Linked DNA regions of Oreochromis niloticus. The protein of the gene in region 3 purifies or fractionates together with the protein of the main gene of each other region. This does not show direct contact. Links are inferred from orthologs where the notes say so. Each region holds a gene or a part of one and is shown on either strand. Other genes may lie near its edges. The genes, in order: PHD finger protein 12, gatad1 and kdm5a.

The links.
Region 1: the proteins of kdm5a (region 3) and PHD finger protein 12 purify together in Homo sapiens (affinity purification with mass spectrometry; 3 studies listed by BioGRID and IntAct, with this or other methods). This does not show direct contact. The link is inferred for Oreochromis niloticus from reciprocal best matches to the Homo sapiens genes KDM5A and PHF12.
Region 2: the proteins of kdm5a (region 3) and gatad1 purify together in Homo sapiens (affinity purification with mass spectrometry; 6 studies listed by BioGRID and IntAct, with this or other methods). This does not show direct contact. The link is inferred for Oreochromis niloticus from reciprocal best matches to the Homo sapiens genes KDM5A and GATAD1.

The regions. Positions count from the first base shown.
Region 1 is NC_031979.2:4,236,625-4,247,563, reverse strand, and holds the start of PHD finger protein 12, read left to right. Parts: upstream 1-6,140; 5' UTR 6,141-6,807; coding exon 6,808-6,873; intron 6,874-7,126; coding exon 7,127-7,308; intron 7,309-9,652; coding exon 9,653-9,725; intron 9,726-10,939.
Region 2 is NC_031985.2:21,142,574-21,153,098, forward strand, and holds gatad1 (GATA zinc finger domain-containing protein 1), read left to right. Parts: upstream 1-6,125; 5' UTR 6,126-6,413; coding exon 6,414-6,593; intron 6,594-7,442; coding exon 7,443-7,565; intron 7,566-7,647; coding exon 7,648-7,707; intron 7,708-7,837; coding exon 7,838-8,021; intron 8,022-8,108; coding exon 8,109-8,299; 3' UTR 8,300-8,948; downstream 8,949-10,525. Other genes in the region: uncharacterized protein si:ch211-57n23.1, read left to right, coding at 152-293; chrac1 (chromatin accessibility complex protein 1), read right to left, coding at 2,649-2,731, 5,036-5,162, 5,288-5,446; protein naked cuticle homolog 2, read left to right, coding at 9,500-9,524, 9,629-9,655, 9,761-9,831. UniProt on the Homo sapiens protein: Component of some chromatin complex recruited to chromatin sites methylated 'Lys-4' of histone H3 (H3K4me), with a preference for trimethylated form (H3K4me3).
Region 3 is NC_031981.2:6,308,661-6,319,493, forward strand, and holds the start of kdm5a (lysine-specific demethylase 5A), read right to left. Parts: upstream 4,486-10,833; 5' UTR 3,459-4,485; coding exon 3,312-3,458; intron 2,877-3,311; coding exon 2,799-2,876; intron 961-2,798; coding exon 838-960; intron 597-837; coding exon 426-596; intron 158-425; coding exon 1-157. UniProt on the Homo sapiens protein: Histone demethylase that specifically demethylates 'Lys-4' of histone H3, thereby playing a central role in histone code. Does not demethylate histone H3 'Lys-9', H3 'Lys-27', H3 'Lys-36', H3 'Lys-79' or H4 'Lys-20'.

The DNA.
Region 1 (10,939 bases), on a different chromosome or scaffold from region 3:
AACTGCCTGCACACCAGGTCCTTAAAATCAGGCAGCAGTAGCACCTGCAGCTGAGAGCACCGTGGCTGTGTGATGTCTTCAAACCTGGAGGCCACTGCCACAGGGTTCTCAGGGAAGGCAATATCCAGAGCCCTGGATGCCCTGCCCATCATCTCAAAAATTTGGCAATATGAAACAGTCTATGCAAGATTGTGGAGCTTCCCTGGCCAGCATAGCATGTTGGTAGCCCAAACACAGCATACATCTACCATTTCCGTGCTACAGAGACATAGAGATGCCGTGTCCCACACATTTATCACCCATATGAACTGCCATACTCACATGGGATGGATGCAGCCGTAACCCGCAAACCAGAAGACAGTACACACAAACACATACTCTGGTTTCCCCTGTCTCAACGGGTAAGCCCCCAGCTGGAGCTCAAATAATTGCCGGTTTCATGTCTGCACAGTTCTTTTATGCCTAATGTGGCAGTAGTATGCAGACAGGTCCTGGAGTATGAAGGAATTAATGCCACTGACTGGTCCCTGCGTCGGCCTGACTTAAATTCAGTAGAACTCTGGGATGTTATGTTTTGGTCCATCTGACACCACAAGGTTGCACTTCACATTTGTATACAAACTACCAAGTACCACTTTGAGTTGCAACAGAGAAATTTCAGCAAATTATTCTGGCAAATCATTTTTTTCAGCCCTCTATAGGTCTTTTTTTCATCCTTTCAGTCCTAACATATTACCCAGTCCATAGTATAGATCATCAGCACAATTACCCAGTTAGTGTAGGTTTTTGTTTGCTGTGCTGCTGGAAGAGGCCACTAGTGTGCCACAAAACTTACAAAAAAACAGGCTGTACTAAAGCCTGACTATTCTTGCAATGATTGTAGCCTTGCTGCTTAATGGTCATTCATCACAGTTACATTATTTCATCCCGCAGTCCGAAAACATGCATGTTATACTAGTTATCCATCCCTTATTTATTCCATAATTCGGTCCAACATCTTTGTACTCTGCACCAGAAAGAAAGAAATATAAATAAATAATAAATAAATAAATACATTATTATTGTCATGTTGTCTGTCATGTTGTCATGTTGATATCTTGTTGTCAGTATTGTCTGTCAATAGCAAAGAAATAGTCAGAACCCATTTTTTTTTATGTGTACACATACTTGGTCAATAAAGCTGATTCTGATGTAAATGGTTGTCTTCCTCTGTTAGCCCTGAGACACACTGGTGACTTGTCCAGGATTATACCCTACAACAGTGGGCAGATGGATGGGTTGATGGGTGGATCTGATTATTTATGTGCATGTAAACACCCACACTGGCTGACACACAGAGCATAGTTGGTGCAATGGAGCAGGAGATTACTTTATCAGTCTAGTTCCGAGGCTTTGCTCAGTGTGCATATCTCTGATTACTTTAGCAATTTAGGACATTTAGGTATCTTGCACATGGACCTTTCCACAGCTGGAGAAACAACCTAGCAAATTATCCTTTTGTAGGAGGAATTAAGAATAGAGAGGCATTTACCAGTTCTAGCAGCAAAAAATAATAAGTGTCACACCAATCCCCAAAAGCCTGGATGAGCCTGACCAAGAGTCCGAATTCTTGGTATTATCAGCTGACTGAAACTTGGACCATAGATAAAATATAAAACATGCATGTAGCCATAACTCATGTTTACTAAGCTCAAACAACTAGGGAGCCCAGGGCTGTTTTCCCATAGAAAATCTGGAGTCTTTTTCCAGCCACAGGGGTTGCTCTCTCCTGGCCTTTTAAAAAAAAAGAGAAAGCAGATTTCAGGTATTTCCACTTTGGCTTCTCTTTTCAAACCTGGAAAAGTAAAGTATCTTCTCCAAGTATAAAAAATATGTTTTGATTTTCATTTAAATATATTACATTCCTTAAGGAATCACAACCCTATATATAGGGGCGATTGTGGCTCAAGAGTTGGGAGTTCGCCTTGTAATTGGAAGGTTGCCGGTTCGAGCCCCGGCTCGGACAGTCTCGGTCGTTGTGTCCTTGGGCAAGACACTTCACCCGTTGCCTACTGGTGGTGGTCAGAGGGCCCGGTGGCGCGAGTGTCCGGCAGCCTCGCCTCTGTCAGTGCGCCCCAGGGTGGTTGTGGCTACAACGTAGCTTGCCATCACCAGTGTGTGAATGTGTGGGTGAATGACTGGATATGTAAAGCGCTTTGGGGTCCTTAGGGACCATAAAAGCGCTATATAAATACAGGCCATTTACCATATAGAGAGAGGAAAATATATGTGTGCAATTTTTTTTAAACCCTTAGAAATTCTCTTACTCTAATACTGTTAAAATACAATACTCTCAAAAATATCTTAAAATAAACACAGTAATTTAGTGATTTAGCACAACAGGATACATTTATCACAATATAATACTTCATAATTACAACCTTACAAGTCTCCTTCATCAGAAAAATGACTTAAAGTCAGCAACTAAATATTTTTTAAGGGCTTTTACAAATGTGATCAAAATATGTAGATTTTAAAAAAGACTCAGCTTTAAAAAATATTAACTGAAAATTCATTTTGTAAAAAAGATTTTTCATTTTCAACATTCTTGTACTACATATTAATGTACATATTAACATATGCACTAAAATGTTCAATAAACTGTAACCTGGTGAGTGGTCATGCTGGACATGTGTATAACATGTGATGGCTAGTAACATTACTGGAACACGGGACTACATTTCTAAAATGCAATGTCATATATCTCTGTGCACAAAATCACATTAGCTAACTACCAGTATTTTGCCAGCTACTCAAATACAACTGAGCAGTGCCTCCCTCTGCTGGCGAGGGTTAGCAATTACCCATCATTCATGGTAATTCTGTCCACTATACATTAAAATTGCAAACATTTCCCCTCTCCAAGGCAACCATTTTTAGGTTTTAGAATCAGCCCCATTAAAAAAACAGCCAATATGGGTAATGAACCACACAACTGAAGAAAACAAAAAAGGAAATCAAGAATTAGAAAAAAAACAGGTATCAAAAGTACAAGTTTAGGATAAAGGACTAATTAGAACTTTGTCTCAATTAGCACATCCATTGTTGCTACAAATCCCAAGAGACAAGACAGTGTGCAGGTCTGTTACAGTGCTAACACAAAGAGATGGGCAACACAACCAGTCGCACTAACATTTACACCTATCAATCTACCTATTTTACATATACCCATATTTATATACACACACACACGGTGCTAGGTTAAGTGATTCTAAATTGCTCAGACACTTCTCCACAAGGTACGTTGACTCAAGTATTTTACAATTTTGAGCTACTTTTTCTGCAACAATCTCTCCACATGTTTCAGAGGTAAATATTGCCATTGTATTCTGCTCCATTTCTTTTCTCACAGCTTTATTTATTTCCTACAGTGCACTTAATGAACAAGTGCTGTTTTACTGGTTATGAACATACAATTTTTCCAATTTTCTTAAGATATATATATATAAAAAAAGCCCTTCTTAGATTTGCTAGAAAATGTCAAAGAGTTGAAGGCAAAAGTATGAGCTTACTGAACTTTTTAAATATATATGATTCTTAGAGCAGAATAATGCTACATTACCATATAGAATATGATGCATAGCTCTAGAGTAAACAATCTAAGTTAAATATAATGCAACATGCACATTAATTTTGCAGTAATATCAATTTAAATACATTAGATATGAAAAGAAACATTTTTCTGCACAATGAGTACTAACATGCAATTTTCTGATAACTGCCCAGTGTCACCGGGTATTGGCAAGATATGCACAACATAGAGTGCCACCTTCATCATTCCTGTTCAACTTGTGCATCTCAGGCTTTCGGTACAACTCTGGGTCAAAGAACTACTCTGACAGTTCTACGGTGATTGGATGTATATGTGATGGACAGGAGCAGGAGGATGATTTTGTGGAGTCGTCTGGAAGAAATCATCTCTGAGTAAGACCAGAGATCATCAACTACAGAAGGAAGAAAACAACTACAGCCTGTGCCTATCCAGGATTTTAATGTGGTGGAGAAGTACAAGTACCTGGGTGCCCACACTGACAACACGGTGAAGTAGAAGACCAACAATTAGCTAGCCAGTTTTAATGTTCTTCTTTTGTTGTTGCTTTTGTTTTGAAAGGAAAATTCTAAAGAAGCCAATTGAGGTGGTTTGGGCATCTGACTAGGATGCCTCCTGGACACTTCCTATAGGTGAGGTATTCTGGGCAGTGGACTCAGTGGAGAGATCACACATCTCTGCAGGCCTGGAATGTCTCAGTATTCCCCGGATGAGGGGAGACACCCCGGATGGAAGAAGTGGTTGTTGTGAGGAAAATCTGGGCTTCTCTGCTTAGACTGCTGCTCTTGCAACATGAACCTGAATAAACAGCAGAAAATTAATGAATGAATGGACATTTTTACTAATTAAAGTTATACTTATTTTACTTTATTGTGCCTAATTTTATTTTCGACTAGTTATTATTGCTGTTAATTGTTAAGATTTTATTAAGCTGGACACCACTCTACTTATTTAAGTTATTTAGGTTTGTTTGATTTAAGTCAAACATCAACTACTGTAACACAAGAATTTCCCAGTTCTGGGATAAATGATCTAAATCTATCTTTACCTTAATATCTAAATACTTCTATTTTACTGAGACTTAAATGCAGGACCTTTACTTGCTGTGGATGTGGTGATCATGCGCCTACTTTAAGTGGGCCTGCACAGCATTTTTATTCCTTGTCTACCAGTCCCATGTATTGATGCAATGCCCCACATTTTAATGTGCTCTAGTTTGCAATAGAGAACACCAAGATGAAAAAGTGTGGCTCAAAACTGATGTGCTATAAGTGCTCTGCAAGAGCAGAAAAGTGCTGCATAGCAATCAGTCCATTTACCAAGAATCAGTCCATGTGCTGACCTATGGATTAATTGCTATTAAAACTGAAACAGACAGTTTGGCTGCTAAAGTATATTTAAACAGTTTTAATACTTAATACTTTAATACTTAATATGATAGACATGGTTCCACAAAAAAAGAGATCATACCTTCTATTTTAAGTTTGGAAATTTTCATTCACATAAATGGCAGTATATTTGTCCTTCACATAACTGATGCCAAACTGTTAACTAGCATTGTTTTTTGTTTCCAGATTTAGTTTTCATCACCTCTCAGCATTAGTAAGGTGTCACACACACATATTGTTTACCCTACATTTGGTGTTTCGAGATCTGGTCAGACTCTATAGTTGGTGTGATCTGGTTAACAAAAACCCGATAAACCTGCTATAAATACAAATTGTATTTAAGTGAGAAATTACATTATTTATGTGCTAGATGGAAAATACGGGAATTAGGGCTTCATAAATTCTTAAATAAATCTTTGGTTTAAGAGAATATAGAGGTGGATTATTGATTTGTTAATGTTTTGGATGTCTTTGTTTTCTAGTGATCTGTGCATTACTTCAGCGTTTCACTTTGCACAGTCTGGTCCTCTCTTAATTAAAGAATGTGTTTCAGACTTCAGCAGACTAATCCAGTGAGGACTTTGACTGCAAAATAGACAATGCCCTCTGTCAGAAAAGTCTGATTGGTAGAAGGATAACTAAGCGCTTTGATGACAGTGACAGCTGGTGTGATTTGGTGCTATATAATTAAAACTAAATTGATCTGAATTGAACATTTCTGTTAGAATAACTGACTTGCCGTCATCCAGCTGGGATAGGCTCCAGCCACCCCGCGATAAGGATAAGCGGAAGAGAATGGATGGATGGACTTGCTGTCTACATAGACTACATGTTGAAATAGACTACATGTTGAGCAAGCGGAAGAAGAATTAAGATGGTAATTTGAGCAGCTGAAACGCTATTGTAGCAGAAGTGCAAATTGCATGAGTAGTGTTCATAAACAAACAATAAAGCAATTGAAGCAAGGAGCAGTTAATGCTACTCGCGGTAGCAGCACAAGTACGTGTGCACAATAGTAATGAGTAGTGCTATAAGGTAATCTACAGGGAAAGTCATAGCAAAAAAAATAACTTCAAAACGTCAGTTCCAGTCAAAAACACCGTGTAGATAATGTTTTACCGGTTCGTTATAGTGTATCCGAAATTATCTATATCCGTTCCAATACGCATGCGTGTCCGGTGTGCGCGGTTGCGCCAACTGTAAGGATGTTGCTAGCAGCCAGTATAGATGCACAGCCTTTTCACAACAATAACATCAACCAAATTTGCATTTCCACATACTTGATTTGAGGATTATACATTCCGGACGCTGTCGGAAACCAGGTTTTGGGCCGTACTACACCTAGTTTTCTCCTGGATTGTTTGGTTACATTTTGTTTTGACAATGGGAGCGGGGGGCTTTGCAGATTTACAGCGCTCCTTTTTGCAGGAGCAGAAACAAGAATCATGGCTGGCCAGCTAGGCCGCAGATGGATTGTGTAGCTAAGAGCAGTAGTCTACTGTTAGAAAATTCTGTATGTTTTCGTGGCACTTACACATAAAAAGTGGTGCTAAGGAATCAGTATTTTAACTACATAGTTAGACGTCATTTTTGTTACCTTTTTATGGCCAACTACGGCAGCTAGTGAGACCGCTAGCTTCACAACCTTGACTGGTTGACGTTTGCCTAGCTAGCTCCTTTGGGCAGCTAACGATAGCTAACGTCGATTTACCAGACATCCTCTCACCGAAATCATTCGGGAAGTAATTTCTTACAGGATTTATCGTGGTTATTGTGAGCACCGAGGCACTTGGTTCGCAAATTCCTTTTGCAAAGTCTGTTTCTGGATGAATGTGGGACAAAATGGAGACCCCAACGATTGTGTACGATTTGGATACCTCTGGGGGCTTAATGGAGGTAAGGCTGCTATGTCTAAGGCCTTAATTAAGCGAAACATTCCTCTGTTGCTAGCACTTTAATATATTTTACCAAATTTGAATCGCAGCTGTCATCATCACTATAGCCCGCTGTCAAGCGCTTAGCTAGCTAATTCGGCTTGGTAACGGAGGCCACAAATTACTGTTACCGCTCTCTATAAACGTCACAGCGGACACTAGACAAGCAAAGGACAGCCGCGATGTCGCACTAAACAGCTGAACAACTTTTTCAGCAAATTCAAACACTGCTGGCGCCCCCGAAGTCAGAAGAGGTAGAGAAACGGAGTCGGAAACTGGTGAGGGACGTCCGGAGGAGCGGCAGGGCGACTAACCACGACACCTGCGATAGTTGCAGGGAAGGGGGAGACTTGCTGTGTTGTGACCACTGTCCTGCAGCTTTCCATCTCCAGTGCTGGTAAGTTATTTGACTAAAAAACACGTAGAGAATTGATGAAACAAGCGGAAACAACTAAGAGTCCCCGTCAGTTATATGTGTAAGATGGCTGAATGCTAACTCAAGTGATTGTCCTCGGTTACCGTTTCTCGGTGGTTCCGATTCCCGTAGACACATGATTTGAAATGTGTAAAGAAATAATCTGTTAAATGATTTCATTTTGCCTCATAGTTTTTTCGCTACAAAAGCTCACGCTTATATCAATGAAAAGTCAACTTTAACCATCAATTGTTCTTCCGAAATTCCCGCTGTGTTCTCCGTTCACGTTAACCATGGAGGCCGGCTTGAAGCCGCTGTGTTGCCCTCTGTAAGGTTTATTATTAACTCCCATTTTCCCTGGAAACTGCTTGCATGTCGAATTTACTTGCAGACGTTTTCAGAATCTCAGGAAATAAAGCAGTTGAAGTTAATTAAAAGACGTTTGGTGATCTAAGATAGCAACTGATAATTTAAGTAACAGACCAGAATGTTTTCTTGCTCTGGGAGGACTGTGCACCGTTATACCAGTCGTCTATCTTATATACTGACTTTTGGACTTTATAGAGTTTGAAAGTGTATAGCAAACTTATTTTCACGCGTCGCTAATGAAATTATAACATACAGGAGTTAAAATAAATGCTTAAATATGTCGTGTCTGCAAGAGGCTAGAATTAGCTTGCAGTCGGTCCTCCCCTCCTGCCGAGGCTGCAACCAGCGGAGCTGCTGGTAAAAATGTAGCCTCTGTTTACAATATGGCGACCTCGCTGCTCTTTCCCCCCTTCTTCCACCGCCATCTTACAAACCTTTAAAATCAACTCTGATGGAAAAGGGGTGCATTAATAATACGGACGAAATATTCCGCAGTTTTTTTGGACGGGTATAACAGCGTTTGTTGAGGTATTTTCGGTGCCACAGCGATAAATAAATACCCGTCTCATTTTTTCTGTATTACTACTTTTACAGACTGTCACCTGAAAACCGTATAAAACCCGTCTGTACATATATAGCCAAACGTGTGGACGCCTTCAGATTTTGAATATGTATTCATGAATTTTGCTGCTCTAATGTCTATAATGTAAAAGACAGTGTTACATGGCGTGACAGTTCAGTTGTCCCATGCACAGTGCATCTCACATGTGACCACTTCAAACACAAAAGCATCATTAAAAAAACTTTTTTCATTTTTTTAAATCTGTGGAGAAATTTATTATTGTTGTCATTTTACTGGATATGTATTGTATGTCTTAAGTCCAGTTAATTTTAATGTTAAATTCTGCAATTATGAATTCATATACCAGATGCATCAGGGGGAAAAAAGAAGTTTAAAGTTGACTAGAAACTATAGAAACAAACAGCCAATAGAAATGAATAAATTGTTAAAATAGACAAATAATAATGAATCAAAAGAAAAAGTAGTTAAATACGCTTACTACAAGCAAACTAATGGTATGCATCCATCCAGCCATTCTCTTCCACTTATCCTCGTCAGGGTCGCTAGGGGAGCTGAAGCCTATGACAGCTACCATAGGGCGAGAGGCAGAGTACACCCTGGACAGTTGGCCAGTCTGTCGCACGGCGAACACGTAGAGACGAACAACCATTCACACTCAAATTCACACCTATGGGCAATTTAGAATCATCAATTTACCCAACCTTGCTAACTGCATGTCTTTGGACTGTGGGAGGAAGACGGAGTACCCAGAGAGAACCCACGCGAACATGGGGAGAACATGCAAACTCCACACAGAAAGGCCTGGCCAGGTGGTAGAATCAAACTAAGGATCTCCTTGCTGTGAGGCAACGGTGCTAATCACTGCACCACCATGGTTAAAAATGCAAGTTAAAAAGAAAGGAGTAACAAAGCATAATGGATAGATGGTTCAGTTTGGTCACTAAGTGTAATTTTATGAATAACTGTTAAACGAATGGTGGTTGTAAGTAGCAGATGAGTGATGGAAATACCAAGGTAACAGTTAACCAGACATAATTTTAAAAAATGATAAGGTGAAATGAGGTGGATCTGACGAAGTCTTCTTGAATGTGGGCAGTATGTAGTGTAAAACATTGGGAACAATTGATTATTAATGAATGTGTCAGCTACTGTAATGAAAGTATAACATTGAAAACTGCCATTATTTTGCACTGTATGGATGTTTTTATTGTAATGCAGCCATTGGCCCACCAGATGGAGACAGAAGAAACTAGACTTTTGTTTTGATGCCAAAACAATGGGATCAAATCAGTTTTTCATTTGAATGAAATGGGAATTAGAAATTATGATTCATTTTCTGTTATTAAATATTTAATTTCTGTCTTCTTACGACAGCAACCCACCTCTGAGTGAAGAAATGCTTCCTCCAGGGGAATGGATGTGTCATCGCTGCAATGTTCGGAAGAAGGTGAGTGACAGATGTTCTGTTACACATTTGATTCATTCTGCTTTTGAAATGTATCCCGAAGAGTGTGTTCTATGTACTGATAAATTGGACCAATTCAATTTTATTTATACAGCGCCAAATCACAATAATATTTTACCCTACAATAATACATACAGAGAAAAACTCAACAATCATTTGACCCCCTATCAGCAAGCACTTTGGCAACAGTGGGAAGGAAAAACTCCCTTTTAACAGGAAGAAACCTCCAGCACAACAAGGCTGAGGGAGGGGTGGCCATCTGCCGCGACACATAGTGAGTGAGAAAGGTGACTGAAGAAAAAATACTACCCCAGCAGTCTACACCTATTGCAGCATAACTAAGGGAGTATTGAGGGTCAACTGATCCAGCCCTAACTATATGCTTTTACATATGCTGTATGTGAGGAGCAGGATTTTGAATTCAATTCTGGATTTAACAGGGAGCCAATGGAGGGAAGCCAATATAGGAGAAATCTGCTCTCTCTTTCTTGTCCCTGTCAGTACTCTTGCTGCAGTATTTTGGATTAATTGAAGGCTTTTCAGGGAGTTTTTGGACAATCCCGATAATAATGAATTACAATAGTCCAGCCTAGAAGTAATAAATGCATGAAGTAGTTTATCAGCGCCACTCTGAGACAGGATATTTCTTATTTTAGAAATATTACGCAAAGATTAGAATTGGACGAAGTCAGTCCTAGATATTTGTTTAATATGTGCATTGAAGGTCCTGGTCAAAAATGACTCCAGGGTTCCTCACAGTGTTACTGGAGGCCAAGGTAATGCCATCCAGAGTAAGAATCTGCTTAGATACCATATTTCTAAGATTTTCAGAGCCAAGTACAATAACCTCAGTTTGATCTGAATTTAGAAGCAGAAAGTTAGCGGCCATCCAGGTCTTTATGTCTTTAAGACATTCCTGCAGTTTAACTAATTGGTGTGTGTGTTATCTGGCTTTCTGAATAAATAAAGTTGGGTGTCCTCTGCATAGTAGTGCAAATGTATGCTGTGCCTTCTGATGATACTACCTAAGGGAAGCATTTAAAATATAAACAGAATTGGTCCTAGCATATCCATAATTAACCTTAGTGTGTGAAGAGGACTCTCCATTTACACGAACAAATTGGAGTCTATTAGATAGATATGATACAAACTAGGGCTGCCACAAACGATTATTTTGATAGTCGACTAGTCACCGA
Region 2 (10,525 bases), on a different chromosome or scaffold from region 3:
ACATCTGTCTGGACATCTGGTTGAGACGAGGCTCTGGCACAAATATAAATTTAAAGTATGGACATTTGGCTCTATTAGATGTGAGCATTTGAGGGAATTGTTCAAATTTGACCGCTTGTCAGGTTTGCTTGTGATTTTTCATCCCATGCAGCATGAAGGAGCGTCTCGCAAATACGAGGGATGCTCTCGAAGGCAGAGACCGCGTGGCTAACCACCTGGAGGAGAAGTTTTCCACTTTGGAGGCGACACTTCTCAATATACAGCTTCGACTTAGAAAACTCATCCATCACTGACGATGCTGGAAACCCCTTATTTGAACTGTATTTATCTGATATGAATGTCTCATAACGATGTAGCCCATGCATGCATGCTCAGGATGAGTGTAGTTTGTAATGAGAACAAAACACACTTGATTTGCACCTTATTATGTCACCAGCTCACCTGCCAAAATAAAACGTGTAACCAAGATTCAGCAGAAATGAATAAATGTTACATTTTCTTGGAGTTCTGATGAACACAAAGCTGTAAAGTCTAGTTTTACAGTCAACGTTTGACATAACGGAACAAAATGAACATTGTAGCATTTCTTAAAATAAACACATTACACCACGTTACTGTTTATTTAATAGAAACTAACCTATACTGCAAAAACATTGTATAAAAAATAACTAAGCACACTCTTATTGCTTCCATAGGAATGAATAGGAATAGTAACAGCAGGTGTGAGAACCTCTATAAAAGCAGACGTTTATGGTGGTCTGAAGAGTTCAAGTGCATGTTTACACAATGCCAAGGAGGTAATACATCAGCAACAGAAGCGACTGCTGCTGCCAATTATTCTGGGAAGGGCTATAAGGTCATTTTCAAAAAATCTGAATACCATCACTCTTCAGTAAGAAAGATTATTCACAAATGGAAAACGTTCAAGACAGTTGCCAGACGTTCCAGGAGTGGACGTCCCAGTGAATTCGCTCCAAAGTCAGGCCGTGCAGTTCTCAGAGAAACTGCAAAAAACCCAAGAGCTTCATCTCACACTCCAGGCCTCAGTCAGCATGTTAAACATTTAAGTTCATGACAGTACAATTAGACAAAGCCTGAACATGTGTGGCGTTTATTGGAAGGTTTGCCAGGAAAAACCCCTTTCTTTCTAAAAAGAAAATGGCAGCATGCCTTAGGTTTGCATAACGTCTGAAACGATATCTTTGGACAGGCAAGACCAAAGTGGAGCTATTTGGGAATTTGGACTCTGGAACACTTGGGGGAAAAAGCAGAATGAAGAATCAAGGTGCTGCAGAGGCACAAAGTTTGAACCTCAACATGACTGAAATGCTGTGACAGCTGTGCATAAAAGAGTCTTTGCAAACTTCATTGAACTGAAGCGATGTTATAAAGAACAGTGGGTCAAAATTCCTCCTCACTGATATGACACACAGAAAACGATTAGTTCCTGCTAAACGTGGTTCTACAAGCTGCTAAATCATGGGGTGCACTTTTGTTTTATGTACTTCTTTCTCTTTAAAATACACTGCCTATGTATTCTGGTTAAGCTTTTGTTAAAGAAAAAATGACCCAGTATAATAGGTCAAATAAAAATCGTAAAAGAGGGCATTTTTTCTTCTTACCATGGCTCTATATTACCTGCATGCAAAGCTATGAAGATGTCATGGTCACATTAAACCTCTAAACTGCAGGAAACACGAGGAGCTCAGAGGAGAGTAAGCGAGTGGTTTAACACAGCAAATTCATAAACTGCAGTATTACAAAAAATGTAAAAAACATTCAGAGCAAAATGAGACAGCATGAATTTTTATTTAAATATCAAATCTAAACCACACATTTGTAAATACACAGATGGCGGTACGCCGTCTAAGCTGAAACACTTTAAATATTTACATCTGTTAGAGTCTGAGATTTTATTTTGAACTTCAGAGCATGTTCAGTTGTTTTGTAGTTTTTCAGTTCTAGTAAATTTCAAGTTCTCTACAGTCAAATCAAAACACGAATATATGGTTAACAGTAGCAACAGCACATCTGAGTTTGAGATCAATGTTTCACAGCACCTCTAAAATAAAGTTTTCACTCACTTTTATTTTTTTTAAGCCAACAGTAACACAGGAGCTAAGACATCTGCGCTCCAGCTGTGTGGGCTGGATTTCCATGTCTCAGCTACTCACGTGGAACAAGTCCGTACTGGCCCGTTATGCAGAAACATTTCTGATAACGGTGCACGTAAATCAAGCAGCCCAATTAAGTCAGTGCTACCCGGGAACCTCCATAAACAGTCTAAGTACACAAGCTGATATGCAAACTTGTTCTGAACTCCTGTTTGCATCATATATTAGTAATAACAGTACTTTAGCTCACACAAAATATATCTGTCAGTTTGCAGAAAAGGATCGCTGAACTTCATTTACTGTTGGGGGGGGGGGGGGGGGGGGGGTTGAAATTTGAGTCTTCACTTGATTTCACATTGACCCCGTGTGGGTTTGCTTTTAGTTCCATGTCCTCTAACTTCTTACAAAAGCCCTGAAGATGAACTTGAGAGTTCAAGTGTCTTTTACTGACGGTCACTTTGCTTTCGGCGACAGGCTGGACGAGTAGATGTGATAACATCTGTCCAGATGGAAAATGTGGACCATCCACCTGTTTCAGTAATCAGCTCCTTCTTCTTCTTGCATTTGCTCCAAAGAGTTGAGGTAATCTTGAGCCAAGATCTTCTTAGGCAGAATATCTGTCCAGGAAAACAAAGCAAAAAATTTTTTTAAATGCATAGTTGAAGGAAAAGATCTCATTTTTTGTTGCTGGTCAGTGAGTGATATTAACACAAGAGTATTAGGAAGACTCAGATGGTTTTAACTTGGCTGTCAAAGAGTCGACACACTGCACAGCTGCACTAAAATTTACTTTCACATTAATGTTTAAGCTTCTGTATATTTAAAATGCATCTGATATTTCACTTTTTATAGATTATAACAAACTGTTTACAAAATGTTTTTACAGAAAAGCCATTTTTAAAACCTTGACATCATCATATGTCCAGAAGACACATGCTGAGCACAAGTGGCTCCGCGGTGTAGTGTTTAACATGTTCGCCTTACAAAGCCTCGACAGAAGGGGACACAATCTGGTGTACACCTAGTCTCTGCCCCCAGCCTGGATAAATGGCTAGAAGGAAAGCATCAGGAAGGGCAGCCAGTGTAATTCTGTGCCAAATCAAACATGCACGCTCTGGTGACCTCTCCCAAAACAACTGAGCAGCCAGAAGTACCGCAGATATCACAGGCAAAACGAGCAGCAACATGCCCGAGCATTTCCACCTTAAACCCCCTGAATCGCTGGATTCAGACAGCCCGGCGTTCAAAAGTAACAAAGCAGTGAGTGAGTGTGAGCTGTTTGGATACAGACCCAAGAACACCACAGGAGATAAAATGAAGTTATGAGAGAGATAAAACTCTTATTGATGGTGTTTAAGGGTTAAAGCAGTGCCTGAGAGACTTAAAAACAGTGCTACTTTAAATAATCCTTAAAGTAAAGCTGGCTAAACTAACTCATCCTTTCTTGAAGGTTACAACTTTTGATTTTTGTTAAAACTGTTAAAATGAGTTTTAGTTTTATGGAGATTTTAGAGCCTTTTTGTTTATACTACATCATACCAAGCAGCGTTTCTAATACTTATTCTTTTCTTAATCAGTTAATTTAATTATTTTTTTTATTAATCGATTAATTTGGTCTTCTTGTGTTCAGCTGGTGGAGGTACTGTCAGCTGCTCCCTTATTTCCTAAGGGATAACCAGAGCGGATTGATCTGCGTGTTTGATTTGGTACAAATGTTTTATCAGATGCCGTTCCTGATGTACCCCTCCTGCTTATGCTTAATTTATGGAATCATGTCCGTTTGTTGTTGTATTTGACCACAGAGATGCTACAGGCAGGGGCTGTCAACCAATGCTCGCTTTGCAAGGGTCACATGTTAACAGGCAGGCCAGGAGCGGGAGAAGCATGAGGAGAAAAAACATCAAAGATCAGAAATACAGAATAAAAAGCACAGACAATGTCTGGAGTGGACACTTTTGATTGCTTTTAACACTCAGTTTCTCTTTGGGTTTTTGTATGTTATAACTTCACTCTTTTCCACAGTCAGCTGACGGACCATCAACAGCACAAGAAAGACCCACAGACCGGTTACATGACATGTTTTTGATGCATCTGACAGCAGATGCTCTCTGCAGGTAGACAGTTAGTTTGAAGCTGCCAGTGGACTGCAAATATGCTACCGCAGCTCAACCAGATTTTGCCCTTTAGACTTCTGCGATGATTTTTTTGTAGAGCCTACAGGGTAATGTACTTAAGTGGCTGACGCTGTTACCAGTCTTGATGCTTTTGTGGTGTTTTGTGTGTTTATTACTTGAGGGTGGTGTCCCAGTGTTTTATATGCAGTACCAGCTATGACAGAAACAAATAAAATGCTATTTTTTCTCCTTTTTGTTGTGGTCAGTTATTTTCTGTTTTTGTTTTTGTTTTTGGAAACAAACATATTTGTCCCTTACAGTGGACCTGAGAGGTGCAGCTAGAAGTGCACAAAACACAACAAAAGCAATTTAGGGGAGACAATAATGTGATGGAACAGCTGTTACATTTCTAGGGTTGCGTTTCTATGATGTAGATTTGAAACAGAAGCATAAATCCCTTGAAACTGCAAACACACGACCACAACTGAACCACAGTTTCCCCATTTATCTACACTTGCTGATGCTGGGTTATGTTACCACATTAAACGCTCTAATAATCCAAAGTCTGATCAGTTATCATTACAGTAGTTCTTAGACTGTGGGTGAGGCCACTGCAGGTAGGTTCAGACATCGTGTGAAACAGGAAATTAATCGATTATTCGGACGTTGTGTGAGTCAGTGCGTAGAGCAACGGCAGGAGTATTAATTCACTGTTCCTAACAATCTGGACTCTGTGCAGTCTGAGGTATGATCTGTAACCAGCTGGTGCATCATAGGGCCGCTGAGGTGCCTGCAGGTGCTTCTTACCTGTGAGAAAATGGAAAGTCTCTGTCTCCTGAGCAGTGTTGGCCAGGTCGCTGTACGACAGGCTGTTTGTTTCCTTCCCTGAGCCGTTGTTGAAGGAGGATAGAGCCAGGTGTTGTACAAACAGCTCCTAAAACAACAACAAAACAACAGGAGACAGACACAAACGCGCTGCTTCAGCTCACATGCCCTAGACAAGCTAACGGTGCTAAACGTGTTAGCAAATGAATGAGCTGCGGATGAGGTTTAGCTTACTGTAGCTTTGGTGGTGAGGAAAAGAGCGTCCTGGTTGATACTGGAGACATCAGGGGAGCTCTTCATGATCAGCCTCACCCTGGATATCGGCAGAGAGATCGGCTTTTTGCTGCCTGACGCTTGGTCGTCTTTGCCTGAGCTGTTTTGAGACATCTTCATAAGAGCAGGGCGCGAGACAAGCGGAACTTCCAAGTATTGTTTTGAACTGTGACGCGGTTTGTTTCTTCTTCGTCTGACCAGATTAAAACCGTCTGGCGGACTCAACGCTGTAACATCGCCTCCTGCCGGAGAGGCTGGTTTTTACAAGCTGACACACACACACACACACACACACACACACACACACACACACACATATATAAAAACACTTTAATTAAAATATTTATCTTTTATCTTTGTACACGGGTGGATGAATGAATGGAAATTTGTTGTAACTTTGTTACAGCAGGATAATGAATAAAAATAGTACAACTTACAATAAATAAACAGCAGTGTCACAGGCGCATAGTGAGGGCATTATACATCAAAATTTACATATACAACAATGATTTCAAAAAAGTAAAAGAAAAATTAAGTTAGTAAAAAGTGGAACGGTAAGACTCATTTTGTGCAAGCGGGCAAATTAATAAATAATTTGTACATTATGCATCTGAGAAAAACAGCTAAACATATTACCTACTCATTGTGTTGTTTTAACCAATCGTAATTTATCACTACCACAACACGATTGGTTTAAATTAATCAACATTTTCACACTCTCACAAGCTCACTTGCCTCTTTAAACGTTGTGTCCTCCAGTCCAGTGGCGTCGCGTGATTTAGTCCTGTACCTAAATCTAAACCAAAGAAGAAGAACTGATGGCAGGCGCCAGCGCAGAAGAAGAATGGTGCCGCTAGTAGTGGCTATAAATGGGCTACAGATATAAACAATCCAGGTTTCTGATCAATTTGGCTGTTCTCGCAAGTAACTCAGAGCCATACCTGTTTGTTTAAAGTCGAAGTGCCACAGAAGGAAGATTTCAGCCTCCCTGTCGGAGTCACAGCCACACAAACGGAGCATCTTCATCCTATCAGTGAGTTCTGTGTCGTTTCTTCGCCCACCGGCGTCGTTTTAAGAAGCGGCCACGATGCCGCTGGGTTTGAAACCATGTTGCGCCGTTTGCAAGACTAATTCTTCCTCGATGTGGAAGAAAGGAAACCAGGGAGAGATCCTGTGTAACAGCTGCACGGGAAAGAGCGCCAGCGGCGGGGCGTCAGGACCCTCCCTGTCCTCCATCACTCAGCCCAGCAATGGCGGAGGGAAACAGGTCAGTGAAACCCAGTGTTTCTAGATTAGAGCCAGGCCTGTTTGTGATGGTGTAAAGCCTCATGAGTTTGTCTTCAGGCGCGGTTCTTGCTCTGTTTTAGACTGCTGGAGCTGTGTGCAGACATTGCAGCTGCATCATTCACAGATAATCCTACAGGGAAAATATAATGGCGCTCCCGGAGACCACACTCAGCTGAAATAGGAAGGTTTTCTATTTCAGTTTAAATACTCAGGATCACTGTCTGTGGGAATTTTTTCTAAAGTTATTAGAAGAGCACAGGTCTCATTTCGAGACTGTAGTCTTCACTGTTCATGTGTAAAACAGTTTAGCAGTTTAACAGAAACAAGCCGGTGTGACTCCAGGAGTTTTAAATGTGGTGTTGCAGATTTGATCATAATAATTGGCTGAGAAAGCACTGGGCACAACTTTCAGGCTCTTGTGCAGCAGCCTGTGCCCAAATACAGATGGGAGAACATAAAAAGTGATGCTTCAAATGAAAGTCATTTTTGTTCTACAAAGTGAAAGTATTTAAATCTTTAAATGAGAGGCGAAACATCTCAACAAACCCCCAAGATCATTTAACCCTTATTTTTAAGTAAAATTGGTAATGTAGCAGTCTGTTATCAAGTGAAATCCAACTTAAAGGGTAAAACTATATGCCTTAAACATTACATAGCTTCACATTTTACTGAAATATTTTTCATATTAAGTGATTAATCAGTTAACTAACAAACAAACTGGTAGTTGTTAGTACTGGTCTTAGTATTGTCTCATTGCTTATTTTTCTTCATCTTCTTCAACTGACAAGCTGCAGTCAATTGTCCGATCCCTTCTTGTGTTTGTCTATAGTCCAAGCAGGAGATCCACAGAAGGTCTGCACGTCTGAGAAGCACCAAGTACAAAGCTCCTGCATCGGAGAAAAAAGTCTCAACCAAAGGAAAAGGACGACGACACATATTTAAACTCAAAAATGTAAGTTTGATCATGTAAATTAGATTTTTCTTCTTTCTTTTCGAGTTCATGCGTTTGACCCTTGTGTGTGCCAACCTTTCAGCCAATCAAAGCACCAGAATCCGTAGCGACTATCATCACGTCAGAATCCATATTTTATAAGGTACGGTGTTTATTGTTGCCAGGCATGAGAAACAATACTTTCACTTAAAATTGCTCTGATCTTTTCAAAGCATTAATTATATCACTGCTTTAATAAACCTTAATCCTTTATCACTGTCAATATATCACAGGGTGTATACTACCAGATAGGAGACGTGATTAAGGTAACGGATGAAGAAGACGGGAAGCCTTACTACGCTCAGATTCGAGGCTTTGTGCAGGATCAGTACTGTGAAAAAAGTGCAGCACTGACGTGGCTCATCCCCACTCAAGCCAGCCCAAAGGACCAGTTCGATCCTGGCACTTATATTGTTGGTGAGCAGTTATTCTGGATCATGCAGTGCTCTAATGGAATTTGTTCATTTAAGCTTTAAAAAAACAAACAAACATGTTTTGCAATAGGTCCAGAGGAGGATCTGCCAAGAAAGATGGAGTATTTGGAGTTTGTGTGCCACGCCCCCTCTGAGTACTTCAAGTCTCGGAGCACCCCATTCCCTACTATCCCAATACGACCAGAAAAAGGCTATATCTGGACCCACATAGGACCCACACCGGCCCACACTGTCAAAGAGTCTGTCAGTGCCAGCAGTTAGTGGGACTGTGATTAAAGACATGGACTCTGTTTTTAAAGAAATAAATGTACATTCTCATCATGCTAGTGCAGGGTCTGCAGTTGCCGGCACATCAGCAGAGTATCTGCAGTGGTAGATGTTGCAGTCAGTGGAGGTTTAAATGTAAATAAAGTTTAAATGTAATAAACGCTGATATCTGGGAGGACTGTGTCATCTGTGAGGATACAGGACGGTCTGAAATGTGACATTTGTTTTTAGTGACGCCTAGCAACAGGAGCGACGGGGTCTTTCAATGACTAGTAACAGGAAGAAGCATCACAAATGAGACACCCCCCGAATTACATCAAACTTGGCACTGCCTCAGTCCATACACCCGCCAAGTTTGAAGGGGAAGAGACGAAAAATGCATACAGAGATTCCTTCATTTATTAAGGAGATAATGATTTTGGAGTTTTCTGCTCATTAATTCACATTTCAAGGCGAGTTGTAAGTTGATGGTAAGGATGTGTCTTATTGCTTTGTGAACAAGTTATTCACAAGCTGTGATGCTGAAACATATGGAAACTTGTTTACACCACTTTTTTTTTTTTTTCCCAGTGGCAGAAACAAGTTTCCATAGAAATGTTACTTTTGTATTTGATAATAAACAAAAAGCTCTTTTCCATCACTACTGTTGCCTGTGATTTGTCTTTTGTTCCTTAAAAAAATGATACAAATAAATGTTTAAAAAAAAAAACATTAACAGAGAGATCTGATTGTTTTTTGTTTTAGCATCCTGATTAAACAAATGTCACGTTTGATTTATGTCAAAATGTTAGAGACTGGTGGTGTCTAAAGACTGGAATGAACCCACTTGTGTCAGTGAAGCTCTGACCGTGAACGTCTCATTGAAAAGTCTTTAAGTCGGTGGTTTGTGTCCGTTTCTCAGTCGGATGCTGTCCAGAGTTGTTTAAACGCGCACACAATAAAAACAGTTACTTTGATTTACAGACGTAAGGTTGGGTCGCGTGTATCACAGATCTCTAACCAATCAAACCGAATTTAACCGAAGCAGGAAGTGCGCGGCAGTCATCCCTCTCTCTGCCTGTGCACTCTTGGATAAACGTCTCGGTGAAACTTTGGAGTAGTCGGTGAAATTCCCAGTCCGCGAAAACTCTTCCTCATGTCTTGAGTTATTTTTCCTTTCTGGGCTGGACATGGTGAACATTTCTTGATCACAGTATGGGCAAATTCCAGTCCAAACACGGTGAGAAGTTACATCTAGTTAGCTTCTTTTTTTATTATTATTAGAAATGAAATACTTGAAATGTCTTATCACTAGCGCTCATTGTCATCTCATTATTTGGGCAGCTTCGAAGCCCAGGCAGAGTCCAGAAGGTAAGACAGAAAAGACACATGCTGTCATAGCTCATTTGTACATGGATTTATTAATATTTTTTCTTTTCTTTTAAAAAAATAAATGGTTGCTTTTATCCTCTACAGGACGGAGTTTGGCTTCCAGTGTGCTGAGAGAGTCGCAGAGTAGCCACATATGCAGAAGAAAGCTGACAGAGGTAATGAGTTTTGTAATTGTTCTTATATTAATAACCAATTCTAAAAAAGCTAACCTATAACTCGCTCACCTCAGGTACGTTTCCTGTATCACTGCGCTGATCTGGTGCTGACAGAAAAGAGGTTAGACCTGAAGCTGGTGCAGTTATGCCCGGGTACTATTCAGCTCCGGAAACCAGCCAGGTTTTACTAGTAATTTCGGTAATAATGTAGGGCCCAAAAAGCAAAATCACATTTTGTGTAAGCTGCTTTCAACAAATAAATAAATGCACATGAGGCAACATTAAAGCCAAATACATGTGTTCTTATGGTGCAGGAAAAAACCGCACTGCCTCTTTAAACGCCTTTAACACAGCGTCCAGGGCTTCATTTCAGTCGTGCCAGCTTGGGGACAAACTGCTCACATCTATCCAGGAGACATAAAAGATGTTTGGAAGGTGGTCGTTTATTTATTTCTCCACCCTTCCTCCTCCATCTCTATAAAGAGACTTCCAAGTCTGTGAAGTTCAGCACACCCACCCCCCTCCAGACAGCGAGGTCTTTATGCCCAACTTCACTGAGGGGGAAAAAGAGAAAAAAGAAAAAAAAAATCCACATCTGGGACTGCTTTCCTGCCCCAGCCAGACGGGTGAGGGTGTGAGGTGGGGTGTTTGGGGCTGGAGTGGGTGAAGTGTGGCTGTTGCATTGCATAAATGG
Region 3 (10,833 bases):
CTGGCAGTAGCCGCTCTTTGGTTTGCAATCCATCACCTTCTCCATCTTTATTCTTCTCATCCTCCTCATCGTGCTCCTCTTCCTCTACAGCCTCCTCGCCAACTCCCTCATCTACCTCATCCCCATCATTTCCCTCATCATACAACCTTTGGAGGCCCTAATCAGAGGCAAAATGATCACTGAATAGGTTACCAAAGAAAACCAGGATGTTATTTGGCCCAAAGGTTATTACAAGCTATTAGTAATAGGACATTTATATACAGTATGAAGTGTTTTGGGAGAAACTTCCTTAAGTACAATACATATACATGCAATTTAGACAAGAAACCTCAGAATCTACTTATGATGGTCTAAAACGCATTAGCTGTAGTTTTCCTCCCAATTATGATATAAAATGCAGTTAAACAGCATTCAGCACCACTCACAGTTAGTGTGGCTCCAGTCTGGAAGAGCTCATAGGGGTAAAGGATCCTCTCATAGTGAGAACGTAGAAGAGACCCGGTGCCTTTTCCAGGAGGGTAGCCCATTCGGCTGGCCACCTTGGACCATAATTTTTCTTTACACACCGTCTCAAAGCCGCCCTCGGATGACACAATCTTTAATGCACACAAGGAAAACATTTTTTTAGCTCTTACCACTTTATCTATCTAATCATCCAAAATATTTTTTAACATCATAAGGTAAAAAAAACATTTTTTGTGCTGCCAAAGGATCCTTATTTACAAAAATTCACTAAAAATCCATTTTTAGGCTAAAAAAACAAAAATCTGAACAAACAACAAACAAACAAACAAACAAACAAAACAAAAAAAAAACATCCATGCTGACTGGTTCCACCTTGCTGAGCTGGTAGAGGTCCAAGAGTTTCCTCTCCACATGAGGGAATCGAATCTTAGATCCTTGCAGCTCCCAAAACTTTGCGATTTGATCCAGAAAATTGAGCTTTATGCGAGTGAGCGCCTGGAAAAGCAGCAGAGAAAGAGCAAAAGGACAGATTAGAAAAATCAGAGGCTGGTATTCATTTTGTTTCCACATTTTGGTACCAGGAAAACCAAGAAATTTTCATGGGACACACACACACAAAACAAAAAAAACAGTATGTCCAGACACCAGATCTATTTGGCTAACTATCATACATAAATACTGTTTGAGATCAGTGAAAAATAGGGAATGCAGTCTGGTAATGATCATCTGTGCATTTCTAATATATAAAAAAAAACAACTTTGCAGCTGTCCTGGTGCCCTGAACTGAAACGACACATATCCAAAAATTGACTTTAAGAAAGGGCATCCATGACATCAAATGTTGGACACAATTAAAACTAAACTGAAAAAAATAATAATGCAGCTTTTTGTTTTGATTTAATAACCTTTTCATAGTCAAAATAAAAACTGCAGTGTTTTTTCCCCCTGAGTGAGACTTTTCTTTCTTGGTGTCCACATCTCCTCAGACCCGACATGGTCTGCCCCCATTCAGGTCCAGTCCAAAAAGGCTACATAGTGCCTGTACCACCTACAACAACTGAGGAAGTTCGGGGTCTCTCCAGTGAGCCTCAGGACTTTCTATGCAGGCGCTGTGGAGAGCATCCTCAAACAGAACATTGCATCCTGGTATGGGAACAGCTGTGTTAAGGATCAAAAAGCTCTTCAGAGAGTGATCCATACAGCAGAACGCTGCTGCACGACTGCTCTCCCCTCTCTACAGGACATCTACACCAGGAGATGTTGGTTTAGAGAAGCTCAGATATTGAAGGACCTGTCCCAACCAACTGTTTCATCAGGCAGAAGGTTCCGCACCATCCGGGCAAGAACAGAGAGATTCAAGATAAGCTTCTATCCCCAGGCCATCCGTGTCCTAAACCAGAACATGCCGCCCACTCCCCACCCACAGCATCCATAACTGACTTTAACACTTTAACACCCACTCAAACAATGCACTTTTAAAGCACTTTTAAGAAAGTTAATGTTCAATTTTAGAGAACGACTGGATGGTTCGAGTAACAGCATAATTTTAGCACTTAGAGATCCGACAGTGAGTGGTTCCCGTTACTCATCCAGTCTGAGAAAGCACTGGTTGAAGTGTTTGTGTATTTATTGATTTCTTTTAAGTAATTGTGTTTTATGTATATTATGGTTTTATATTTTTACTAATGCTTTATATGTATATATGTATATATGTGTATATATATATATATATATATATATATATATATATATATATATATATATATATGTGTATGTGTGCACGCTCGCACATATGCATGTGTATGTGTGTATATGTGTGTGTGTGTGTGTATATGTATATATATGTATATATATATTTAAGGTTTATACCTTGTGTTTGGGGGGGGGGGGGGGGGGGGGGGTTGTGTGTGTGTTTCTGTCTTGTTTTTATGGACATGAAGTCTGCCAATAAAGATTGAACTGAATTGAATTGAATTGAATGCACATTTTTAGATTTTCAATTTAAACATTTCCAGATTGTTTTATTTTATTTAATTAACTTAATGTACATAATTCACTTACTTACTGCATATAATGATACTTAATGCATATAATGTGGTCTTTTGTGTAATTCACTTAATGTATATAATTTTCTCTCTTTTTGCACAGTCAAGGGTGTCAGGACACTTTCCACTGCGTGTTGTACTCATAACTATGCATTTTACAAATAAAGGATCTTGAATCTTAATTATCTATCATACACACAGCTAAAGCAGTAACAATAATGGCTTCAGTCTCATTATAAACAATGACTGGAGTTATTTTATCTATTCATTCATTTGTGGCAAACTCACCTCAAGTTCATTCAGCCTTTGCACCCGAGGAGTGAACCGGAAGTTGCGTACATCACAGGCAAACGGAGGCTGCCAGTCCTGATTGACAACAGAAAAGAAATATTACATTCACCAAAACAACCTGAGCAATGAGGAAATCATTGTGACAACACGTGACTAGCTTAAAATTAAAATCTAAATGTATCTGTTGTATGTGGACGCCATTAGGCCCAATGTCTACCATCGTTCCACTTTAAAACCAAAACACCAGGTGGGAGTGAGGAAAACAGCTACATTTTCTTCGCACTTTCGCCCACAATTTTTCTGAACAACAAACGGAAATCAGTGTCACAAATGTTTAATTAAAAACTGAAAAGAAACTGAGCCTCGTTTGACCTCTATTTAGACTAATGGCAACTAGTAGCGTCGCTGCGTTTCGTAAAATCCACGCAGGCCCAAAGTAAGCCAGCCCAGGATCACAAAGAGACAACAAACCAAAAACCTCTGCAGACTTTCAGTGTTATAAAAAAATACCTGAGGGGGTCGGATTTTGCAGATGCCCGTCTTCTCTGCAATAGGTCGGATCTTGTTGATGAATCCCAAAGGATCCGAGAAATCCTCCCAACTCGGCTCAAACACCGGGCATTCAGGAGGGGGCACGAACTCCGCAAACGCAGACATATCGGCGTCCTTCCAGTGACACAGTCTTTAAAAAAAATTAAATCAGGGATAAAAGTGCGCAAAGTTGAGCCTCAGGAGTCCATAATTGTGTTAGCTGCAATTGTTTCTTCCTTCTTCTTCTTTAGTGTCCATCGTGATTCTTCCAATCTCCCCAAATAACAAATCACGTCAGTGACAGGAGCATCCCAGGGGCGAAACCTAATGTGGTGTGAAAAGTGAAGGCAGAAAATACAACAAGAACCGAGTCAATGATGCATGTCACTCCTGTATCCGTAAACAGAGGGCCAAACCAGGCCGGGGTATCGCCACCAAATTCTCCCCCTACCTGGGACGGAGGGCAGGGTCAGTCCAAAAACGCCACCATTGCTCATCTCAAACCAAAGCTTCAGGAGGAAAAAAAAATCTGCGGTGAAGACTTGGCCGCAGGCGAGTTGGAAAAGAAGTTTCACAATACCCAACACACAAAAACACTCCGTCTATTATGTTAAAGAAGCTAGCATCGCTTCTGCACTACCTGGGCAGTGCATGATTATTTTTTTCGTGAGGATGCATTTCCAACAAACTTATCTAAGGTTAGCTGTAATGTTCACTAGCTAACGTAATCACGCTAGTGAACTCGTCGATGTCGTCCAAAATAAACACCAGCCTCTTCGTTCTCCTACTCCTGTGGCACCAGTCAAGCTTGAAAACAACACGGATAAGCCTAGTACCAAGCGTACACTGTTGACTGTTTCCTTCTCTCCGCACATCAGCCCCCATTCATTGAAGCATTTGAGGCAACGGAGAACTAGCACACAGCTAATTTGGTAAGCTAAAAGAAGCTTAGCTACCGCTTCCCGTTGCGCAGCTAACATTGGCGTTAGCTGGCACAGTCGGCTGAGAAGAACGGTCCTCCATGGTTTAAGCAGGTTAAATGAAATCGCATATACAAAAGCAATACTCTCTTTGCTTTGTTTTACCGGAGGCAGCTTTCTGTATATTTAAACGTCGTCTATACCTATTGTAGTCGGATTAGCAAACGTGCTAGCTACAACTAGCAAGGAAAGGGAAGAGCTCTTATGGTGCTTTCATGGACACTCGGAAAAAGTTTCACTACTTTTGAATTCATTGCTGTTTTTTCATCTAACTTTGATGTAAGCGTGAAGAAAATATGTTTCGTAACAAGCGCTAATAAATTCATATTAGTTGCAAAAATCTGCTGGATTGATTGCTGTCACAATCAGCAGTACGAATGCGGTTGGCAGTGTCAGTAATGTATCTTCGAGCAGATGTCAGTTAGAGGGGATCTCCTTAATGTGGCACACACTCAGGCTATCAGCAGCCCCATACGCCTGTTGATCACATATTTTGTTTATACATGCAACGTGTCAGAAGAAATTTAGTTGGAAGGCAGCTTAATTCAAGCCGTGGGTAAACTGGGTGTATAAAAGCTCAGCAAAAGATAAAGAATGATTATTTTTAATTGTGCACCTAGTTGATATCAACAATCCAAATGTCTGTAAATGAGCATGTCTCTTTATTGTGTTAGACACTTTGTTGCTGAAGTTGAACATATCTGCCACTAGTTTACATAGGCCGAGACAGGTTAATTTCTAATACAGCATAATTTACTAGAATACAGTAACTGTGTAAATCCTGAGCCACCCCTCATGACTTTATATTGTGCTAAGTGAATAAGGTGCAACAGTTTATAAAAGTATGCATGGCAAAAACAGAGTTTGTATAATTCTTATGAATTTGAAAGTTGATATTTGGTTTGACCACCATTATACTTCTACACAGGCTGAACTCTCTTATGCAATCTTTATTCTAATCTCTAGTGCTCAGGAATAGTTCTCCGGGCTTCTTGAAGAACAATCCAAAGCTTCGGATGTTGGCTGCCTTTTGTTTTGTTCTCTGTTCAGATGATCCTGTTTCAATAATGTTGAGGTGTGGGCTCTGCAGTTACAGTGTGTGTTTTTCTATCTATCCATCTATCCATCCATCCATTATTTTTCAACACTGTCATGTTGAAAAATAAAACCGTTATCATTTGGCTTCATTCCAGATGCTATTGCATGGTTGATCAAAATCTGATGGTCCTTTTATGTGCTCCCCTGAAAATGGTCAGGTTTAAGAAGTGGATTGTATATGTGTGAAAAACAGCCCATGTCAGAGGAAAACTTTGAAAGCCTGGAGAACTATTGTTCAAGGCCACTTTAAATTAAATTACAAGAAACTCTGGCTCATCAGAAGTAAAATATAAAGAAGTGAAGGCTGTCTCAAGTACATAAGAATCCAAATATTATAACATAACATGATCCATGTCAATTCTAAACTACTAAATAAATAACAGCTGCAGTAGGATGCACTTTACATAGCATACGGAGTGTTACGTCATCTTCTGAACCAAAAGCTACGTAAAAATCTAAGTTTTAGAATTAGAGTTTGATTTTATCTGTTGGTAAAAGTGGCTGAGGTGACTGTATTTGACTTAATACAATATTTTATTGTGTTTTTATTTTAAGAAGGATGAACTACTTAGGCTGGCACAGTTGCTGCTGTGGGCTGTATCGTCCCCTCATAGCATCAGTTCCTGGCTTTAAAACCAGGATTTATTGCTAGCTTTATAGTTTTCTGGTAGCGGTTTTCTCAACACACATGCCGAACCCTCTGCACAGTATGGCCCAGTCACCAGCTTGCTGTCAATGACAGATTTAAGCAGGAGGGATGACAGGTAGGTAAATGATGCCAAAATGTGTGACTGTATTGTAGCAAACACCTACTTAAGTTTCAAATCTGTGAAACTGACAGTAGGCTACATCACTGGCAGCCTCTGGCTTTTCCTCACAGGAGGCTAGACTGGCAATCGAACAACTTACTAACCAACTCCAGGCAAAAAATCATCAGCTAACTTAACAACATAGGTATTTACCTCTGTTTGGTCAGGACTTTTTTTCGTTTTTACAAGCGGTTAGTCTTGACCAACAATTAAAAAGTGTCGTCTGTCCGCAGGTGTGGAGGCAGTGTGCTGCGCTATGTGCATGTGGGGAGTGGGCTAACTAATTATTACATTTTAATGTGAAGTATGTTTTAAGGTTTGTTTTTAAAACTTTACATTGTAAAGAAAAGACTAACACAATAATCTAGTAGCACTTAGAGACATTGGCATGAAAAAATTCTTACTCGTCTGTGGTTCCCCTCAGGCCTGTGGTCAGGTTTCCTCAACAGGTCAACAAACATTATGGAGAAGAAGCTTTGGTTGGTCAGTTTTTTAAGCTAAACAACATAATAATAAATAGAAGGATACCTTCAAAATCAACGTGGTCAACCTCAATATAGTCAATGTGAAGGTTCACAGGTTTCCACAACAAATATCAGATCAACAAATATTTCAGAAACACTCTGACATGCTAGCAGTAGTATCTAAACTGTATAATAATAATAACTAGAACTCATCTTTTCTGATACCAAAGCCCATTTTAATGTATTTAAACACAATTTTTTTTTTCTTTTTGTAGAACCTGTGCATCGAGAACACCTGTATCATTGCGCATGACAAGGTTCACAGTAGACAAAGTCCTCACTCCACCAATGGGGAAACATCATGGATGTCTTGAAGGCCGATGACCGCTTCATGTGAAGATCTTTACCATCTGAATCATGTTTCTCTGATGGAAAAGTACAGCAAAAACACTCCCTGTCAACTATTGGCAGCTTTAATGACTCTACAGTGCACTTCAGAGGCACAGAGCAGCAACTGCACCAACTAGGATCAGGGAAACTTTTTTTGTTTTTTTTTTGTAGTTTGAAGCTCCTAAAAAGTGAGTCATCTGTTAGCCTAGATTATCATGAAGCTGTTAGTTTGGTGTAGCATAATGACTGAAAGCAAACAGAGGTGTTAGTGTGTTGTTGTGTAGTTGCCATTCGATCTAACATCATTTATTGCTGTTTTCAGCATGCTGGTCAATGCCATCCAGAGAGCAGGTATGACTGAGCTTCTGAACCAGCAGGTGGTGTTCACCTTCTTCGCTCTCACCAATGATGCCTTCAATGCACTGCCGCAGGATGAAGGCAACAGGCTGATGCATGAGTTTTATTCAACCACACAGCTTCTCTTTATTCACATTCTTAATTTATCCACATGGACAGTTTCCAGATATGTGTGTAAAGCATCTCTCTTCTTTACAGCAGCTTATACTGAGAGGTGGCTTGTAGAGATTTCTTAGTGGGGCTATTTTCCTGCCATTTATTTGGACTGTGTGGGGTTTTTTTATTTTGGGGGGGGGGGCTGTAAAATAAAGCAGAACAGTGAAACCACACAGCCTCTCATTTGATACCATGTCTCCTTCAGCCTCACCTCACGTCTGTCTTGACTAACATCTCGGTTTGAAAATGAAATTGAAGAACAATCAAATCATTATGTCTTAGTCTTTCTTACATTTTTACAACAAAAGTTGCTCTGTAATGTTCTCAGATTCTACCTATAACAGTGGTTGTGACTCCATCATTCTAACATTTGGGAATACTGCATCAACCCCGATGTGATCCAGGTTTGAAACTGAGCTGCTTTCTGCACAGTTTAACGTGAAGGAGTGAACGTGCTTTTAAAATGATCTTGTTTCAAGACTGAACTTCAACATCAGCCGTGAGCTGTTCAATGAGTGTTTCCCATCAAAATCTAATTTCAGACATAAGCACAAAACAAACTCATAGTCTAAATCAAATCAATAATAAGTCACCAATATCATTAGTTTAACTTTTATCAGCTTCCGTTCATCTGAATCTTTGGAAACAGTGAGGATAACCTGTTCTTCTACAAACATGCTCTCCCTGCTTCATGACTTCATTAAATTACCAGCATTTATTTAGTTAGTATGAGTGGACTCTGGAACTTCATGTCAGGGTTAGGGTTGCTCTCTGTGTTTGGCTTCTTTTAAAGCAGAGCAGGTCTGAAGCTGCGGCTCAGGTGTGAGCTGTGGAGGTGAGTGACAGCAGCAGGTAATACAGGACAGGTGCTGCTCACAGCAAGGCACCATGCAGCGCGCGCATGGGAAACCAACCGAACGAAGGTGGAAAAGGTCTATAACTCAAACCTTTCAGCACCGTGCAGAAACGCGAGCATCTGACCCAAGGTAACCGAGTCACATGACGCTCAGGCGATGGGGAAATTCAGCAATCACAGCATGAACTTGTTTGTTTCAGACTTATAAGTTCATAAGTTGAACTTAAGTTCCAAGGTGCTCCCTGGTCCGCCGAGAAATATAATCTCTTCACAGATTTCTAGTTCTTTCCCTGAATTCCCTCAGAGTTGGATGCACCTGGAAAACCAACAAAAAGATGCCTGAAACACTTCAACTTTTCCCTTTTGACACAAAGTGGCTCTGCTCCACATTTCTTTGTCCAAGCTCATGAGCCCTTCTCCAAGTCTGAGTACTACGACAAGAGACGTGGAAACCTAATTTCAAAATAAAGACCAACTTTGAGTGAATTTCACCTTCAACATTAACAGACATGTTAAGTACATAATAACAAATATCATTTAGTCTTGTTCCACACTTTAGATCCAAATGACACACCCTTGTACTCTAGTAAGACCCTGTCAATATCAAGGCCAACTTCTTTTGGATTTCAAAGTAAAAGACCATTTCTAATATGTGTGTATGTAAATGATGGCGTGAGTGTGTGTACATCTATGGACATCAACTTGATGTTTGCTAAAATGATAACTTATTAATTCATATAGAAAACAAGTTTTTTCTGTGAAAAACTAAAATCAACGCCAGAGAGGGTTAAAATAATTTTATGAAAAAGTTAATTCCACACCAGCTACAGGACTAAAATATTAATAGTAAGACAGCAGGAATAAATAACAAACAGGAGAAATATTGTCAAAGGAAAAAACCTTAGAGAAGCAAGAAACACAAACTCAAGTTATGGCATGTACATGGAAGAGGCTTACTGCGTGGCAAGACACAGGCAAGTCGCGCAGAGCCTCAGTCCATTCTTTATTTTATAGCAGAGAATAGATTACACAGCATCCTAGGTGGAGCATATGTAATAGAAAAACATCTCTAGATATGGTTATCGCCAGGGTTTTAATAGTTTTGCAATTTTCATTAGTTTTTATTTTTATTTCGTTTTGACTTCAGATTTTCAATTTTATATTAGTTTTAATTAGTTTTTACCAATTGTTTGATAGTTTAGTTTAGTTTTTATTTTTTTGAAAATCCTTAGTTTCAGTTTAGTTTTGATTAGTTTCAGTTATAGTTTTAGTTGCGTTTGCAATAATTAAGTGTAACAAAATCCCAGTTTCATCATATCAGTCATGCTCTTCTGCTTATCCTTGGGTATGTTGCTATTCCAGCTACCATACCCTGCACCCTGGACAGGTCGCCTGTCTGTCGCAGGGCTAACATGCAGAGACAGACAACTCACATTCCCACCTATGGGTTCTTTAAATAAATAAATAAAGGCAGATGAACAACCGTTGATACCAGGCAACTATAAAATGTATATCTTGGCCCCAATGAGACTGTTAACTCTTGCAGCACCGGGTGTTAAGGCAATTGACTCACACAGTTATGTAGATATCCCAGTCCTGTTGTCTCGGGATGCATCACGCTGCCTTGCCTGGGGTTAGCTTCTGTTTCTGGGGATGAGGGTTGGGCGTGCTCCCTTACCTTCTCCAGGTAAGCTAGGTTAGCCTTCTTGTGTGAGCTTTTCAAGTGCACTTTAAGGTTTGTGGGATTTCTTTCCCTTTAGAAATGTCCCTCATAATTTGTCTCGTTCCGCTACAAGACACTTGCTTTATCCAAAACACAGTCATATTCAAAGTAATCCCAAATTGGACTCTGACGCTTTCTCCCGACTTTTGTTGACATGATGCTACGCGTGGACGGAGCGGCAACACAGACGACCCGACTGAGGTACTTGCCACCTGCTGGCATAATAAGGCACAGCAAGAACATAACCTGGAAAATACACTTCATTCTCACCCTAGACTAACGTATGACACATACACATAAACGAAAACTAAACACATTTTCTCTATAAATTCAGTTAATTTTAGTTAGTTTTGTGAACGGTCATTTCAGTTTTAGTTAGTTTTCCTTTTATTGCAAAGTCTCGTTTTTATTTTTATTTCCGTTAACGAAACTGTTTTTTATTCGTTATTTCGTTAGTTTTCGTTAACGATAATAACCTTGGTTATCGCATGAGTGGCCGTTATCCAAAAGACAAGAGGAACTAGTATCTTTTGTCATATCAGCTTCAGGTTGGAACTGTCTCTGCCTGAGCGTGTGTGACTTTGTAACTTCCTTACGCATGCTTCTGTTCCTTAATCTGTAGGTTACAGGCACATCATGTTCACACAAGAAATTATACTTATTATTAT